3 linked regions of the Tribolium castaneum genome follow. Each later gene encodes a partner of the first gene's protein in a complex. Links are inferred from orthologs where the notes say so. Each region holds a gene or a part of one and is shown in the gene's direction. Other genes may lie near its edges.

Region 1 (6,659 bases):
CCTACCCCAAAAAATTTATATACACGACGGGTGCCAACAATAGCTGGAAATTAAAAAACAATAACCACACAAAGAGACTGAGACAATGGACAAACACGTGATGGGTTTATTTACACGAAGGAATTAGTTTTGAATGACCGCCCTCGTAGTCGTCAAAAATTTTGGCAGTGTTTGTTATTCACACTGCTAAAGTAAACACTAACATTTGACCCTGACGGAGAAAACAAACTCAATGTTTTTTAATTAGAATAAAAATGACAATCAGAATCACATTAAAATTCCTCGACCATTGTTGAAGATCACACCTGATTCAGTGGCGCTAATTCATAAACTCAGGTAAAATAGTTTCGGAAGCAGCCACCGAAAGGTCTTTGATGCCTCTGGAAGGCTTCGCCCATAAAGACGATATTTTTAGCTTTTAGTGCGACACATGCTAATGCTTGGAGGTGCATAATATTTTTATGGTAATGTTTCTTTTAAATGTTAAACAAATGACATCACGTTTACATAATTCCACGACCCAAAAAAATACAATACAATTTTTCGACGAAAACTAATTAGTAATTATTGCAGAAACATGTTAAAATGAGTAACGATAAGTGGTTTTTTAATGACTTATTTGGGTCGATAAGTTGACCACTAAAAGGTTTACTCATTATTGCGATTAGAGCAACGAGACGACTTTTGGAGGCCTTATTTTCGGTCTTGTTGCGCATTTTACGATAACCCTTTTGTGACCTTTTTATCGGAACTGCACCCAAAACTATAATTAAAATTCTTTCCCCTAACTACTCAAGCGAGTGGTCAATTAATTTCTAAAAAAAGAGCGATTTGTGCGAAATAATTATTTACCATGACTGCAAGTTCCACTTGTAATTATTCCAAGCAAGATGATTAACAAAAGTCGCAACCTTGGGCCCAGCACCTTTAGCACCTACACCAACCCGGCACGCTTTTTTACTTAGAAAAAGTACCAAAAATTGGGCAAAATTTTGGAAAAATGGGAGAGGAGAACGCGCACGGTATCGGCACCGAAAGGTTGAGAACCAACTGAATTGCTATAGCATGGGTACTCTCCATAAAGCAGCCTCGGGCTCTTTTGTACGGATTGGTTTCGTTGGTCGATCTTTGAAACAGCTGGAGCTGGGTTTAAGTTCACTTGGCAGTGACCTTGATGCCTCGAAAACGCTGCATTCGCACTGTTTATTGTTCAAACTGTTTAATAAAATATGGTACACGCAAACATTTCACATATTCATGGGAGGCCTCCGCGAAATTCCGCAAAATTAAAATGCGTGACCTTATCGTTCTCCGCGCCGATTTTTTAAAATCCACAAACTGAATAAAATACCTTGTAACACTTTCAGTATGCCGTAAAAACGCTCTTTTCACCGCGGAAGTATTGTTGAGAAATCTTTGATCGAACTTGTTATTGTGCCATAAAAATTTAATTGTACGCTAGAGCTGTTATTAGCCACTATTATCGGTTTTTGCTTGTTTTTGCACCAACAGCCATTTCTCTTCAAGAAAAAGCGAAAGTCTGTGTCAAGTTATTCATTTTATGGGAACACATTAAAAGTCGCTGTCGAAGTAAATATTCTGAAAATATCGCGACCTGAGAACCATAAGGTTCTGACTATTTCACAATTTTACAATATCATATCTTGTCTTCTCAATTGCCTGAAATGTTATCATAAAATATAACACGTATTATATGTTAATCTACAAACAAACAATACACAATACAAGAAAAAAATAGCAAACTTTTCAGACATGCTCTACTTAAAATTTTATTGTTTTGAACTTTTAAATCAATATTTAAGGTTCCAAAGTAACAAATTTTGCCAAAATTACTTCCATGTAGGTACTTTTTGTTTTCTATCAATAGCTAAACGTTACATCATCTAGTTTTCTTTTATTTAACATTTAAAGATCATTAAAATCCCAAAATTCCCAGGTCGTGATATATTTTTTAGGCAAACGTGACCCCCAAAATCACATTCAAATTTTTTTGAAATTTTAGATTTGTCACTAATTTAGTAAGTCTGTAAATTTTCAAATATGTCTGGAATTAATAAAACCACCAATTCCTGGCCCTCTAGTTATGTTATAATTGCGTAAACACGTACATATAATTAATTATAATTTATTCTAAATGCACAAAAAAATCTGGCGACTTTAAAATTCAAAAATAGTAGGGAATTTGTCATTATCACCAGTGCCACATAACCTCAACCTCTTGCGTTGTTGTGTGTTGTCAATAATCGCCCCAATTTCTTACTGTGTTTTTGTGAGTGCTTAAAAAATGACCACCGACACCGAAACCTCCCCACAGCCCAAACCCAAGCGTAAAAGCCGCTCCAAATCCCCTGAATCCCGTAAAAAACGTCGTGACGACTCGCCCCATAAAGACTCCCGGAAGCGTTCCCGCCGTTCGCGTTCACGAGACCGTCGCAAAAGTCGCAAATACCACGACTTGGACCGCCCCCTTGAAGAATACCCTCGGTATTACGGCGAGGATCAAGAACACAAGAAAAACAGCGATAGATATTGGACCAAATACCCCCGCAAGGATGACCATCAGGTGGGTAGTAGGTATTACGGGGGCGAGCCCGACGATAAAGACAAAGAGTCTGAGAAGGAGACGGATAAGTCGGTGATAGCCCCCCGTGAGCGCAAAACCGTGGATTTACTGACACGGACAGGTGGGGCTTACATCCCTCCAGCGAAGCTGCGGATGATGCAAGCGGAGATTACTGATAAGAGCTCGGCGGCGTATCAAAGAATTGCGTGGGAGGCGTTAAAAAAATCCATTCATGGGTTTATTAACAAGGTGAATACGTCCAACATTGGGATTATTTCGCGGGAATTGCTCCATGAGAATGTGGTAAGGGGGCGCGGACTGCTCTGCAAGTCCATAATACAAGCGCAAGCTGCGTCCCCAACTTTCACAAACGTGTACGCAGCCCTGGTCGCTGTCATCAATTCGAAATTCCCTAATATTGGAGAATTGTTACTGAAACGTTTGGTTTTGCAATTCAAGCGCGGTTTCAAGCAGAATAATAAAATTATCTGCATTTCGGCCACGACTTTTGTGGCTCATTTGGTTAATCAGAGGGTTGCGCATGAAATTCTCGCCTTGGAGATTTTGACTCTTTTGGTGGAGACGCCAACTGATGATTCGGTTGAAGTTGCGATTTCGTTTCTGAAGGAATGTGGACAGAAATTGACTGAGGTTTCGAGTAAAGGCATTAATGCCATCTTTGAAATGTTGAGGAATATTTTACATGAGGGGAAGTTGGAACCGAGGATTCAGTACATGATTGAAGTTATGTTCCAAATCAGGAAGGACGGGTTTAAGGATCATGCCGCTGTTATTGAAGAGTTGGATTTGGTGGATGAGGAGCACCAGTTTACACATTTGATTACGCTGGATGATGTTAAGCAATCAAATGCTGAGGATATTTTAAGTAAGGAAACTTTTTAATTAGGTGGAACTGTACTTAATTTTTTATACAAAAAAATCGGGGTATCCAGGTTTTGAGATTTTTTATTATTATTTTTTTATTTCTCAGAAAAAATTATTTTGAAATTTTAATTAATTAATTCCTTAATTTGCCTCGTTCACTCTGTGATTATCCTGTCTAGATGTGTTTAAATTCGACGACAACTACGAGGAAAACGAGGGGAAGTACAAGACTTTGAGCAAGGAAATCCTGGACATGGACAGCGAGTCGGGCTCCGGCTCGGAGGAAGAGTCCGGTGACGAGGAAGACGACGAAGACGAGGACGAAGAGGAAGAAGAAGGCGCCCAAAAGAACGAATCCAACATAATCGACAATACGGAGACCAACCTCGTGGCCCTACGCAGAACAATCTACTTAACCATCCAATCAAGTTTAGATTTTGAGGAAAGTGCCCACAAACTAATGAAAATGGAACTGAAACCGGGCCAAGAAATCGAATTATGCCACATGTTCCTCGACTGTTGTGCCGAACAACGGACTTACGAGAAGTTTTACGGATTATTGGCACAGAGATTTTGTCAAGTGAATCAGATTTATGTCGAGCCATTCCAACAAATCTTCAAAGACACGTACGCCACAACACACAGACTTGACACAAATAAATTGCGAAATGTTAGCAAGTTTTTCGCACATTTGTTGTTCACCGATGCGATTGGATGGGAGGTTTTAGAAATTATGAAACTGAACGAAGAGGATACCAATAGTTCCAATCGGATTTTCATCAAGATTTTGTTCCAGGAATTGGCCGAATATATGGGCTTGGAGAAGTTAAATGCCAGGCTTAAAGATGCGTAAGTGACTGTGTTTGATAATTAACGAGGTTTTGTTAATTTTTTGGATTTTTTTCAGAACGCTTCAGCCACATTTTGAGGGGCTGTTTCCGCGCGATGATCCCAAAAATACAAGATTTGCGATTAATTTTTTCACGTCGATTGGCTTAGGGGGGCTTACGGCCGAGTTGAGGGAACATTTGAAAACAGCCCCTAAAGTCAATCCCTTGACGATTACTGAAAAATCAAGTGATTCTAGCAGCAGTAGCACTAGCAGTTCAAGCTCATCCAGTTCCGATAGTAGTGATTCGGATTCGTCAAGTTCCGAAGATGAGAAACCACGTAAGAAGAAGGAAGAAAAGAAGAGGAAAAAACCGACAAAAGAAGCATCAGACGATGATAAAAAACGAAAAACAGATGCGAGGAAACACAGACATAATGAGAGACGGTCACGCGATCGAGACGATCGGAGGCGGCGTAGGAGCCCCGAGAGGAAGCATAAGAGTAGGAGATAAGTTACTTTGTACATAAATTGTATTGAATAAATATTTTTATTTGTGACTTGTGTTTGATTCCTTAAAGTTACCAGATTTGAATTTGGCGCTTAGTCAAACCCACACTTTTGGCATTTTTTTTGACGAAATGTGGGTGTTAATTAAATTGCGTGTTTGTGCTTTTGCTAAAATGAGACAAATTTGGGTGAAAATTTTAATTTTGGGTTAGTTTTAACTGAAAATTTGGGTGAACAAGGCTTGGTGGTTTTTGTTGGCGAGGTTGGCAAGCAGTTTCGTCGGGTCCGAGCTGTCATTTTGTGTGTCACTAATTTTTGTTCATTGTGTAGTAAATTGGTGCTATCGTGTTAAAAACAATAAATCCGATCAAAGGTATTTTTATGAGGAAGAAAAACAGTAATCGTATTAGTGCAACGTGAGCTATTTAACCAAAGTAAGTAGCTAGAGCCAAGTCGGTAGGTTAGATGAGTGGAGACGATGTTTTTTTTATTATGTCAAATGCGTCATTCGCATTAAAGTAAATCTCAATGTTTCGTGTCGGATTGTAACGGGGTCCTGGACCTGTTGATTGAGGCGTTCGCGGGGCCCCTGAAAAGTCAGCTGATTTCGGACAACGACGCCCTTGAACCCCGGAGCCTTGAGAGCCATACGCCCCCTTCTTTTTTAATTCCACGACACGGTTATCAGCTCTCTTATGTGTTATAGGTCATTGCTGTGAAGCCCCTATCGGGGATTAAAGCCGCACAGACTGGCTTGCATAAACAGATAATTACGAACGTAGTTATGACCACTCGACAACTACCAGAACATTTACCAGAGATAAGAGATTGTATTAATCGCAGAACAAACTTGTAAAATTTCGACCAAGTGCGATAACTCATTTTTTCACACACAAGACCTGAATCTCTTCACGTTGGTGAATTCTCGCGGAGACGTGCTTTCATGCTTTACAAGGCCGGATGTAACATTGCATTATTTGATTATTCTGAAATTATTCCTGTGCCAGGTTTTCCCTCCAATGCCACTGTTATTGTTATGAATAACATTCAGATTAGTCATCCGATTAACGGAAAGAAAGCTGAATTTATACCAAGGGTGGTTGTTTTATCGTAAGTTAGGGGAAGTGACGTCTCTGTTCACAAACAATTGATTTTGAACTTATCAATGATCCCAAAATAAATACGTTTTTATTCAAATTCATTATTAATTGTTAGCTGTTTAAACCCTCTTACCTCACACACTGTTTACTAAAGCGTTGTGAAATAAAAATAAATATCACTTTCAACATTCCCACCTGCTTTAATGAAGAAATTTAATTAATAAAATATTATCTAATGAATGGTTTATCAATTACCTTGTTTTTGCAACATTATCTTTCACACTGGAAGAATAGAATTTTATTTGAGCGTTTAAAATGTTTACAAAAATGTAAAACACATCATTAAATTTCTTGTTTGTTTTATGAATGTTTTATCAAAGTATGCAAAATGAGACTTTGTTTTGTTGCATCGGAAACTTTGAGCCAGAGGCCAACGAATCCGTTTTTTATTAATTTGGAAAATTATTACACGTTTTTATAATCCTTGACTGGATTTTCAATAAAAAATCAATAATTTATGCAATAACTGAATGCATTTTCTATAGCAGTTAGTAATACTCCAACCGGAAACCGCCAAATTACACAGTTTATTTCTTTGATATTAGATTAATTCATATCAAAAATAAAATAAACAATAAAATAAAACCACAGGCCAGGCCAAACGGGCGCTTTCCTCACCCAAAACTGTTTTAAATTTGTGTCAGAAAAATCGATTTATAAATTAAAATATCTGAATATTAAGAGTCATGAT
Region 2 (4,887 bases), on another chromosome or scaffold:
CATGTTGTACAAAGCGATCAATGGGGAATCGTATTCTTCGCCAACCGTGGTCCAATCGTCGCATCTTCCGGTTGAAAGAAGGGATGAAGTGGTACAACCCCGCTATGAGGGACCTCCTACCCCATGTCCCGCCAAAGTCGAATATGCTACTCCAGTTTTCGCGAAGAATTATCAAGGAGTGTGGAGATACGTCGTCCAAATCCCTTACGAAGGCTATTTTACCCAAACTGTTGAAGTTACAAGGTGACAACTTAACCAAAATTTTGCCAAATTTTAAAATGTGTTTAGGTGTCTCCAATCGCGCTGCCATTACTTGGACGGTGGTTGCTTGTCTTCGCCGCGATGGTCAAGCCTTCTGGTTGCCGAGATTTACTACCCCGACACTGTTTTGAGCAACAGTGACACCGCGAACCCCCCGCGAAGCCCAGTGGCGGCATCGCAGCCTCCCTCAGTGCAAGACTTTCAGGTAGATGTGAACGGTTAAAGTTTTGCAAAAATCTATTTTTTTTCAGAACTATCAGCAGTATTTGCACAAGAGGGCCGGGCTCCAGGCCGCCCCAGTGGACTCCTCGACCACATCCCGACCCAATCATTGCGACGGAGTAGACGCCCTTGGTTGTTTCCAAGTGCGACTCTACTACGACTGGTTCTTAATCCCCGGCTCTTGCAAGTGTTGGAGACCCGATTATTTTAATAAATACGTCAGGAGGAAATCCACCACTGAACTATAATTTTTCAAGACTGTATATTAGATGATTGAAAAGGGGGATTTTTATTTCAAAAAGTGTAGTCTAGTCTTCGATTTTTGGGGGAGAAGGGTTAAAACCGGCCGATACCGTTTGATTTAAAATCCCCTTTTTGTGATATTTCTCCCGATTTAGGCGACGAGGGAGCGGAAAAAGCAACTTAATATATTTTTATTTATTTGTTACGACTATTCCACCGTTTCACAGGCTTAAGACTTGCACATAATTTATGAATAGGCGATAAGAAATGTTATGAAATAGAGTAATTTGATAAAAAATTAAATTACTGTGTTTCAAAAGGGTTAGGTAATGGACGTGCAAAATTTTTGACATTGTATAATAATTGTGTAAAAATTTTCTAGAAATATATTATTCATGACACTGGTTGTTTGATCTGGGGCAGTTATTCCTGATAAAAAATGGTTATATTTAAATTACGATAAGTATAACGCAAACAAAAACTACAGGCTGATAGAGCATTTAGGGCCACATTCATAATCGGGTTTAAAAGAGCATTAAAGTAGATGTTTATTTTTCACAAATCTTTCACACATTCCAAAAAACATTTAATTTAATGCTCCGTTAAATTCGATTATGAAAGTGGGCCTACATTTTCGATGGCAAGAAATAAAAGCACAAAAATTATCATAAACAATATTAAAAAAAGCAAACTTTCACCATATTTTTTAAAACGCTGCAAATATGGTTGAAAAAAGTGTATAGAATGCTTTTTTCCGAGAAAGTCTGCCATATCATATTTCTATCATTAACCATTTATTAGGTTTAAACAAATTTAGCGTGAGCGGCTGAAATATGGCCTCAAGAATTTTTTTCCACAAAAAAATGTCTGTTAGCTGTTTCAAATTTATAAAAACGCCAACGTTGCATTTTACCGATTTTATTTTTAAATAAGATTGATAAAAATATGAAATAGTTATTATTGATTAAATCTCTTATTGAAACTATAAATTACATTAGTTATTATTTTTTTGAAGTGCATGAATAATTTATAATAGCTAATTTTGAGAGAAAATGCGACGTTAGCGTTTTTATAGTTTTGAGACAGCTAATAATATACGTATTTTTCCCCATTTTTTCAGTTCGTCTCCTTTTTTCTCAAAACAGTTAAAAACTGACCAAATAAACACATAATGTCTATATACGTAAAAAATTACTAAGTATAAAAACTAGCATAACATAATATAATAATAAATAATAGTATATTTAAAAACAAGTTTTCTATGGGATGAGTGCGCCAAAACCCTTATAAAACGAGAATGTTTTTATGATTTTTTCTTATTTTAATTAAATTTTTTTGTCGTCTAGGGAATTTCGTGTCAGTTGGTGACGGTAATAAATAATAAATAAAGAAGAAATGATGATTAAATCGATCGTACGTGTATTCCACGCATTATCGATGAAACTCTTGAAAACTAAATATCCCTAAATTCATTAAAGTACACTGTACTTTAATAGCCATAAACGACTCCTACTGATATATGTTAATACACGTGTATTATAAACGAAAAATATAATATAATAATAGAGAGACTGACCACTATCCTGTTACACTACAAAACGAAGGATTTTTAAGGCTCATATTTACAATTGCGCGTTATTCAAGTGAAAATAGTATAGCATTTTTGGTGGCACCTAAAGAAAATTTCAGAAATACAACACACCCTGTATAATAAATGTTAGCGAGAGGAATAAAAACCTAGGGACTTTTTTGCTGCCGAACAACAGTGGCAACCCTAACATTTAACACTAATGAGTAGTGAGTTGAGTTCGAGGTTAGGTGAACTTAGGAGCATCAAAACAAAAGTGTGTTTCTTCTTTGTGTGTCTCTATTTCGTAATTTACTGCAATTTGTAAAAGTAATGGGCGACCGCTACAACATCCACAGCCAGTTGGAGCATCTCCAATCGAAATATATCGGAACAGGCCACTCTGAAATAACGAAATACGAATGGCTGCTGAACCAGCATAGAGACAGTTACGCCAGTTATTTGGGGCACCACGATTTGTTAAATTATTTTGCGATTTGTGAGAACGAGGCAAAAGCCCGAGTTAGGTTTAATCTAATGGAGAAAATGCTTCAACCGTGTGGTCCACCTCCAGATAAACCCGAGGATTAGATTATAGTAAAGTCAATAAAAATTTTCATATAATCGTTGTTTTTTTTAAAAGACCATTTTAGAATTCTTCCGATAACTAAAATAATTGTAGCCGAAAGGTCTACTTTGTATTTCATTTCGCCTTTATTAGAATAGAATACCTACTTTATTTGTGTCAATACTAATTGCACTAATAGAGTATTCCACACACGCCGCAAAATTAACTTACATTTAAATAGGTATTACTGTATTACATAGGCAAGATATCACTAAAATCATTCCGAAGATATGTATTCCTTAATCGAATAAAAAGTTTTGGAAATTAAATAGTGTTTCAAGTTCTTTAATAAAAACATGGAGGAAAATTTCTAAAGGTAGTGGAAGGGCATTTAAAAATGTATTTATTTATTACCCTTATTAGGAATATAATTTTTTCTAGTACAATAATTTATGACTTTAAGAGAATATTCTTAGCTTTAGTTCGCTGCATTTTTATAAAAAAAAAACAGATTTTCAATATATTTATTTTTTATTTACCAATTATAGTGACAATAATAGCATACTTAATTGACTGTAAAATGTAACAATTATAAAAATATAGCTTGCTTATAAAATATGACAGATTCAACCTTGGACTTTTTTTTACAAATGAAACCAATCTACACCAAAAATTTGACTATGTGTGCTGTATAAGGCTTATAAAGGCCAAGAAAGTTGGGTTCTATTTCATAACACTATTATGAACCAAGTCCTGAAAAATTAAATAATAAAAATATGCTTACGAAAAAAAGCGAGACAACCTGAAGCTCGTCAATAGTCCAATTCCAGTCTTCTTTAGCAATTGCAGGAACCACATCCATAATCACTTTAGTAACTTTAGTCACATTTTTCTTAAATGTGGCAAGAACATCAGCAACAGTCACATGTTCGTCTCTATTTTCTTTCCAACAATCATAATCAGTGACTAAGGCAATTAAGGCATAACACAAACCGGCCTCTTTGGCTAAAATAACCTAGAAAAACAATGACAAAGGGGCCCTTTCCCTACTAAAAAATACCTCTGGCACTGAGGTCATATTGATGATATCCCCACCCCACTGCCTGAACATTTTACTTTCAGCCTTGCTGGAAAACCGGGAGCCCTCAATAGTGACTACAGTCCCGGTTTTATGGACAGGAAAATTCAGCTTTTGGGCTGTCTGTATAAGCAACTGTCTTGTTCTTTCGCAAAACGCCGGCTCCATCGGCAAATGGCAAATCCCCACAGGGTGGTTTTTCTCCCCGTCATAGAAAGTTTGTTTCCGCCCTTGTGTCCTACCACAACTATCAGAAAAATTCTAAATCAAAATTCCCATCACCTGTCGATGAAACTGTTCAAGATCACCAAATCCCCCGGTTTGATGTGCTCCTGCAGCGAGCCGGTGGCAGTGGCGGCGATGACATGGGTGCACCCTTCCTCTTTAAGGGCCCAGATGTTGGCCCTGTAGTTTATATTGCCGGGCATTATGCCGTGGGTGCGGCCATGCCGGGCCAAGAGCACGCATTCAACCCCCTCGATTTGGCCCAAAGTTAACACGTCGGAAGGCTTGCCGAAGGGCGTATTGACCGACTTCGTTTTAGCGTTTTTTAAAATGTCGGGGTTGTCGAGGCCAGAACCGCCGATTATGCCGATCTATGTGCGGTTTTCGACAAATGCCGGGTTGGAAGGAATATGGACTTACCTTGATTTTGCGTGGCATGTCGGTTAGTTTCACTTTTTTGTTAGGGGACGAAATCTTGATAGGACTTGTGGCCTCGAAATGGTCGACAACAGACAATTTATTGATTAAATCACTTAATTGATTTCGAAACGAAGGTTTAAAAAAGTGCGGTTATGGTAATTTGACAGTTGATGCCTCTTCACACGTGACTCACATGCAGTGTTGCAACCGAAAGAAACATAAAATTCAAAATAAAAAAAATTATGTTAAGCTGTGTGTTGAAATTTTGTAATTTTTTCTTATAAATTTTGTTATGGTGTGGTC
Region 3 (6,907 bases), about 2.4 Mb from region 1:
ACAATAAATAATTTGTCGATTTTGTAAAAAACCATGTAAATACATTAGTCACTGGTCATTATACTCAAGTTGTTGGCCATAAAATAGCACCATTTTCCGCTTCACCTCTGAAGCAGCTTGAATGAACTTTAAAACGTTTCAGTAATTCAGATAAGTGCAATACTTATTCATGGTTTTATGGTGAAAGAAACTTGTCGAAAGGAATTTTTATTTCTTATTTGCAAAATAACTCGGCTCGTAAAGATATGATGGTCAAATGTTAAAAACACAGCAGGTTTTTTAATGCAAATATTCATGCAACAAAATCAAAAATTTAAGTATCGGCTCCACTTTTGAGTGATAAAAGACGTTCAACTAAGCATGAAATAAGCTCAGATTTTTTCCGAGCAGTTTAATTTTTCCTAATTAATGTTGAATTTACAGGTTTTTAAATGTTTTTTACTCCGTGAAACACAAATTGCTGTTTTCTTGCCTTGAAGACCGAGCTTATTTTGTATCTGTAATTATATTTTTTCTTTCACTACAAACTATAATTAACCGCTGAGTTACTGGTGTAACCACAGAAATTGTTCAAGATAGTAGTTATTATTTTGCTAAAAATGGTGTAACAGTTTACATTTTTGAAAATCGTAGGTAAATGCTTCAGTTTTAAGTAGGTTACCTAAATACTTTTTCGCCTTGAGCGACGTGATTACCAATAATGGCTGTTCCAAGCGCAAAGAATCGTTAATTCGTTGAACCATTTCTAAAGCTTGTTATTTCTCGTAATTAAATTGGTTGGACCACCAATTTAAAAAATTACAAGTTGTTTCATTGTTAAAGTAATGTCTTTACTTTTTTATTTGGACCAAACATTGAGAAAAAGGCGGATTTTTGCGTGACCAGGTGCCCATTACGAATTATTTACTGTTACACTTCGTCTCATTTAAATAAATTAAACAGGTGTTTCCAAAGTCAGGTTCAACGAAATATTTTGTCGGATGGTATTGAACTTTCTACGAGAAACTAATAACGTGATTATGCATTTCCAAAGCTATAACGCATTTAGAGAAATTAATTGATAACTTTATGTCTAGACTAGCTGATGGTTAATAAAAGTAAAATGCAATAAATTATACATTATGTTGGTTGATAGCCGGGTGATAAGTTAATTTCTAAAATTTCGTGTTAACGACTTGGGGCGATAAAAGAAATACAAAGTGCGCATTTTCACTCATTTACAATTTCTCAAAACTTGTTTAAATTTTACTTGTTTATATTGTCCTGTTATAATTACAATTTCGTCGTGCGGTTCAAGTACCTCGTATTATAATTTTCTGGTTTCTTATCCCACCTCACGAACAAAGTCGCACGACATAATTAAATTAGCGGCTTTTTTCAACTATACTATACCCTCGAAGAGGTAATTGCGATCGATGAGGTCTAATTAAGCCTTCGATAAGCACGGAAACTTCGTGACATGAATTTCGTCTTCGGCTGTAGGTCTTTTAAAAATTAATCACGAAAAGTACCGTTTAATTACCATCTCAACCTCATTCCGAAGGCTAGTCATCTCAGACAATACGAAATACCTGACCAAATACTCAACAAGATGATGACATCACCGGTTTTCCAAAAAACCGTCAATGATGGGTAAAATCATCTAAACCCGACACTGTCCCGTGCATTACATTGACCACCTGTCCAGTACGTACCTACTCAAAGCGATACCTGATCATTGACCTCATCATATAACTGTTCTTCGGCGTTTATGTGGGCTGCAGAGGGCAAATATTTTGAATATCGGTAAATCTACATACTCGCGCGAATTGAGCCCTGCGCCCCTGCAAACTTACCGCAAAAACCGTATTTTTGCTAATGGCCATCCTGTCCTGACTCTGGCACTTATGAGACTCGAAAAATTGCAAATCTAGCAAACAATAATTTTCGGTGCGTTTCACTCAAAATTGCCAATCCATATTTGAACCACCTTTTTTCTACTTTATTTTTTCACTAACTGGCACTGTGGTCACTGGTGCACTTTGGTCGGGTGCTGCACGAAATAATTTCTTTGAAGTGTGCCAGTAGACTGAAGACCAGGTTGTTCTTGAACTTGTGAAACGGAAATGATATAATGTTGTACCTGGGAGGGATTAAAGAACAAGAACAGTTGCTAAGTGGGAGAACACCCTGTTTTCCTATTATAACAGATGACTGGCTAATAGTCGACGGACCATTACGGTTCAATGGAGGCTACCTGTCTCATCTGGGCCCCCAATTATGTTGTGCTGAAGACAACTTTGTTTCTCGAGTTCTAAGAAAAATACCAATTGGGATTTGATTTCGTGAACAAAACAGTTTTTTTGACTAGCACTTTATGTTTAGAGCGTTTGATTGGGAGTGAATGACCGGCAAAAAGCAGTTCATTTGGGAATTTTTCCGGAATTTTATTTTTTACAACTGGGCTGCTCTTGTGTGCTATTTTTGCACAAAGTAGCGTTTTTGCCTCATTTTTAGTAAAATACGTGGTTGGGCGTTGTTGTAGTTTTGCGATAAAGCGGCTTTTATTAAAATAGGTTTGAATGAGTTCTCAGATTTTAAAGTCGCGCTTGGCCCGGTCGGTGCGGTAGAGCTGCGGTGGTAAGGCAGAATCTGGAATTATCAACAAATTTGACGCCATGACGCCACGCCATTTTGTTGGAAGCAACATGGATTTGTAGAATTTAGTGCGCGATTAATTGTAAAAAACGATGATTTTTTTATTGTGAGTCGCGTTAATCGGGAGTTTGCATTAACCGCTGTAGTTTAGTGTTATAGTAAATCATGTGAAGAATTCAATTATGTGTATATCGTGAAGTCAAGTACCGGCGTCTGTGCTACAGTTCCTCGTTTCTTGATTTAGTAATTTGAGTGGTTTTTGTTAGTTTGCAACGAAAGGACCATTTCCGGACTCTATGATGATGTATACGGTGAGTTTTTTGCAAGTGGATTACGTCCCCCCTTGGTGTTTATTAATAGAACTGTCAAATATTTTAAGGGATTATTGTTGTAAACAACTCGTTTCAGGGCACAACCACCGAGCAAGACAATCGCTTCAGCGATAAGGAAAAAAAGCTCCTGAAGCAGATGAAGTTCAGCGATTGTTTGAGTCAGAGGGTAAATTAAGCCAAGCGTAGGTACCGTGATAAAGCAGCGCTCAATTGCAGGTTGATATGTCCAAAATTAAACTTGATGTCATCAAGCCGTGGATCCAAGACAAATTAACGGAAATCTTGAAAATTGATGACGACGTCGTCGTCGATTTTGTTTATAATCAACTAGATGAGAAGGTACAACATTGCCAACTGAAACTCGCTTGCTTAAATATTTACGTTGCAGTTTCCCGATCCTAAAAAGATCCAAATCAATCTTACGGGGTTTCTGCATGGGAAAAACGCGCGCGAGTTCATGGCCGAGCTGTGGGCGCTCTTGATCTCAGCACAGGAGAACCCGTCCGGAATCCCCGACTCACTCTTGGACTTGAAGCGTGAAGAAATCATAAAAAAGAAGGTTTGCATAAATTACATACTTTTGGTGGTATCACCGCTTGTGTTATATTAGGAGAAAGAGGAAAAAGAGCGTGAGATTCGGGACCGGGAAAGAGAAAAAGAGCGCGAACGCGAAAAGTCCGACAAGGAGAAGAAATACAGGGATAGGGACAGGTCCAGGTCTAGGAGGAGATCACGGTCAAGGTCGCGGCCCAGGAGGCGGTCGGTTGAAAGGTCCAGCAGGAACAACGATAGAGGGAAGGACAAGAGGTCAAGGAGCCGTTCCAGATCCAGGATCAAGATTGATGATTTGAGGAACAACGGCAACGCAAGTCCCAACGAACGGGAGAATAATGGCAGAGAGGATTCTGCCAAATTGGAAAGCAGTACTGCCAATTCTAAACATAATTCGTAAGTTTGTTTACTGATAGATTAAATTTGTTGCGGAAATTAATTGCACGTTGTGGTAAGTGGTGAGTTTTGTAAATTGCTTCAGTAACTCGTGTTACGACACAATTTCAGCAAGATGCTAAAAATGGTTATTATTTTTATGACGCGCAAAATTCGTTGAATAAATAAATAAAGAACGTTAGAGAAAGTTGGTTTCTTTCTTGATTATATCACTGGCTAAAAGTATTTTAAGCAAGTGAAAAAATTTGCACATTTTAATACTGCGTGGATTTTTTGTTTAATAAGTTTTCTAAGGTTTGCGCTATTTTGGCACGTTTTGGGATTGATTTTATTTTTATTTGTTAACGTATTAAAATAATTGTGGATTAATTTTTGTGATTTTGTATGTATTTAATAAAAACCATTCTTTGTCAACATGCATTGATGATGCAGCTTTAATCATCTAATGATGGAACGTTATATTGGAAATGGACGTAGTTGTGTGAGCAAGTTGACTTTGTTATGTGATTCAAATAATTTTCTTAAAATTATTCGAATAGATATTAGTTTACAGGTTTTTTGTAATCTGTTTTTAATTACGTCGAAAAATTATGCAAACGGTTATTTACGTTACAAGGATTAAAAACGATATGTTGCATTACGTGGGTGAGTGATACGTTGTGTTTTCATAAGAGTAACGTACAATATTTTTTCTGTAGCTTTATTAAAACATTTTTTAATTATGTATTAAAATAAATGTTATTTTTATTACAAAATTACGTTGGTATTTATCACTTTTTATTTTGTTTTTTTTTTCACACTAATCATTATCGTGCCAGTGCCTGGTAAACACGAATTTATTAATAGATTTTTTATATTTGTATTAGAAGTTTTATTTCCCGGTGTTCTTCTTTGCCAAGAAAACATTTTTAAAGTTTTTTTGTCTTAGCTTGCGTCCAAGCACTTTTATTAAAAAAAGTCAGTTATATAAACTATATTATGGCTATAAATAAATACCTCAGTCTTATTGGTTTTATAAAACTTTATCGTCCATTGTATAAAATAATTACAAAAATTAAAAACCACTTGTAAGGAAGAATAACAGTTTAAATAATAGCGTTACCTTTTTTTTGTATGTGATGGGTTGTACCGATGTATTTAATGTTTGTTCGGACATTTTGTGTAATCAAAATGCATCGTTGGCTTCGTCTTGATTCCATTATTTTTGTTGCCCGTTTTGCAAACGATGTGGGCAGGTTTAACGTTGGCTTTACTGTCTAGAGAGAGTTCCCAGCCCGTGTCAAAGCTTCAAGCGAAGCTGATGTCCATGGCCGGCGGCAACGGCAAACAGCAGCAACAGCAGCGTAACTCCCGTTCCCGTTCGAAATCAGTATCTCGCTCCCGTTCAAAGTCGGCTTCACGCTCCAAGTCACCCAGCAAATCGCATTCGAGATCCCGTTCGTCGTCTAGTCCACGAGCATCAAAGGATCGCAAGTCGCGCTCCCTCTCCAAGGACAAGGAGAAACGTCGCTCCCGCTCCAGTTCGGACGGATCCAAGGACAACTTCGAGATCAGGAAGAAGGAGAACAGCGTCCAGAAGAAACGCCACTACAGATCCAACAAGGACAGCTCCGACAGCGAACCGGACCAGGACAAGGGCAAGAGGAAGAAGTCACTGTCGAAGTCACCGCGACGCGCCAGGAAAAACAGCAGGGATAAGAGTCCCAGACGCAAGAGGAGCTTGTCCAGGAAGAGGAGCAGCTCCAGGAAGAGGTCCCTAAGCCGAAAGAGGAGTCTTTCGAGAAGGTGGGATTTTTATTTCTATTATGTGTTTTACCGTTAAAAACAAGGATACAGAGTTAATTGTCAGTTTATGACATGGTATGTAGTCATTTCTTTAACAGTGTTGTGTCAGTGGTTCAATACTTCTAAATTTGCAATACGTAAACAGTTATCTTCTATTTGAAACTAGCATTCGATTTTTTGTTTTTATTAAGGGGAACTCGACCGTTCAACTGCATGAAAGAGAGATCTTTTAAATATTTTATTTTAAATATATTTTTTTAAGATATTGTTAATTTAAAATCGTGTTTTGTAATTTTTCGTGTTTTTGAATTTCTGTAGATTTATGTCAGAGACGAGAAAAAAATATTAGTTTTTCAATTCGGTTTATAATAAATAAATAATCATGGAAAATATGCGATATATTCTCACTGACACAAATTTATGAGGCTCTTGTAACTACTCAGTAATGCTAATGAATTTCTATTATAAAAACAGTAATTTTTTGTGCAAAATGATCGATAAATCTTGTCCCTAGTGGTGAATTGCCGCTCCAAATTATTTATCGGCCGTATCATTACTTAATTTTGCTTTATGTCACCAATAATTCCACAATTTACCGTTATTGTTTGGTCGAGATCCACTTAAATCTTATATCCGGCGTATCTCAGCTAAGATATTTGTTTTTTTTTTCTGTCTAATTTGTGAATTAATGTGTATTTTTTTTTGAGTAATTTTTTTAGATGAGATAACAAGCGTCTAAAAATGAATGAGATCGTAGTATGTTTTGGCTAGGCCTCATTTAGATATACGCTGGCCTGGCCAACACACCCTACGATGTCATTCATTTTTAGGCGCTTGTTACTTTACTTATGGGAACAGAATCTGCTATTTTGTATTAAATCAATTGATTTTTCGTTGTAAGGCCGCTAACATCAAAAAAACAAAACTTGATACATAGAAAAATCGATTGATTTAGACTGTATTTGAATTAATAACTAGAAGATATATCAAGTTGTTCTTCCTTGTTGGAGGACAGAATTTATCTCAGTTGGCCATGGCCGCTTTTCGACATTTGAGAACATAGCCTACTTTACGCCATTGCCAACTGAACCACAAACAAAAGTAGATACAAAAACTGTTTCGGATTGTAAGATACAGTTCTTGTCGTAGATTTTAATGCAAATTGTTAGTTGTAAGTTTTTAATTTTTACTTCAAATTACAGATA

Evidence for each region. The genes of interacting proteins can lie anywhere in the genome.
Region 2: ncm (region 1) and Sf3b5 share a complex: the UniProt entries of both Homo sapiens proteins name them as parts of the minor spliceosome. The link is inferred for Tribolium castaneum from reciprocal best matches to the Homo sapiens genes CWC22 and SF3B5.
Region 3: ncm (region 1) and Srrm1 share a complex: the UniProt entries of both Homo sapiens proteins name them as parts of the minor spliceosome. The link is inferred for Tribolium castaneum from reciprocal best matches to the Homo sapiens genes CWC22 and SRRM1.

The regions. Positions count from the first base shown.
Region 1 is NC_087398.1:672,254-678,912, reverse strand, and holds ncm (pre-mRNA-splicing factor CWC22 homolog), read left to right. Parts: upstream 1-2,176; 5' UTR 2,177-2,305; coding exon 2,306-3,470; intron 3,471-3,648; coding exon 3,649-4,318; intron 4,319-4,376; coding exon 4,377-4,812; 3' UTR 4,813-4,858; downstream 4,859-6,659. UniProt on the Homo sapiens protein: Required for pre-mRNA splicing as component of the spliceosome. As a component of the minor spliceosome, involved in the splicing of U12-type introns in pre-mRNAs. Promotes exon-junction complex (EJC) assembly.
Region 2 is NC_087396.1:17,668,780-17,673,666, forward strand, and holds Sf3b5 (splicing factor 3B subunit 5), read left to right. Parts: upstream 1-2,446; 5' UTR 2,447-2,570; intron 2,571-2,624; 5' UTR 2,625-2,626; coding exon 2,627-2,884; 3' UTR 2,885-2,917; downstream 2,918-4,887. Other genes in the region: spz6 (spatzle 6 precursor), read left to right, coding at 1-243, 289-466, 513-731; Mtap (S-methyl-5'-thioadenosine phosphorylase), read right to left, coding at 3,585-3,614, 3,664-3,876, 3,922-4,177, 4,222-4,535, 4,585-4,602. UniProt on the Homo sapiens protein: Component of the 17S U2 SnRNP complex of the spliceosome, a large ribonucleoprotein complex that removes introns from transcribed pre-mRNAs.
Region 3 is NC_087398.1:3,110,673-3,117,579, forward strand, and holds the start of Srrm1 (serine/arginine repetitive matrix protein 1), read left to right. Parts: upstream 1-2,637; 5' UTR 2,638-2,933; coding exon 2,934-2,948; intron 2,949-3,045; coding exon 3,046-3,135; intron 3,136-3,185; coding exon 3,186-3,308; intron 3,309-3,357; coding exon 3,358-3,528; intron 3,529-3,579; coding exon 3,580-3,917; intron 3,918-5,177; coding exon 5,178-5,702; intron 5,703-6,907. Other genes in the region: uncharacterized protein LOC100142362, read right to left, coding at 1-35. UniProt on the Homo sapiens protein: Part of pre- and post-splicing multiprotein mRNP complexes. As a component of the minor spliceosome, involved in the splicing of U12-type introns in pre-mRNAs. Involved in numerous pre-mRNA processing events.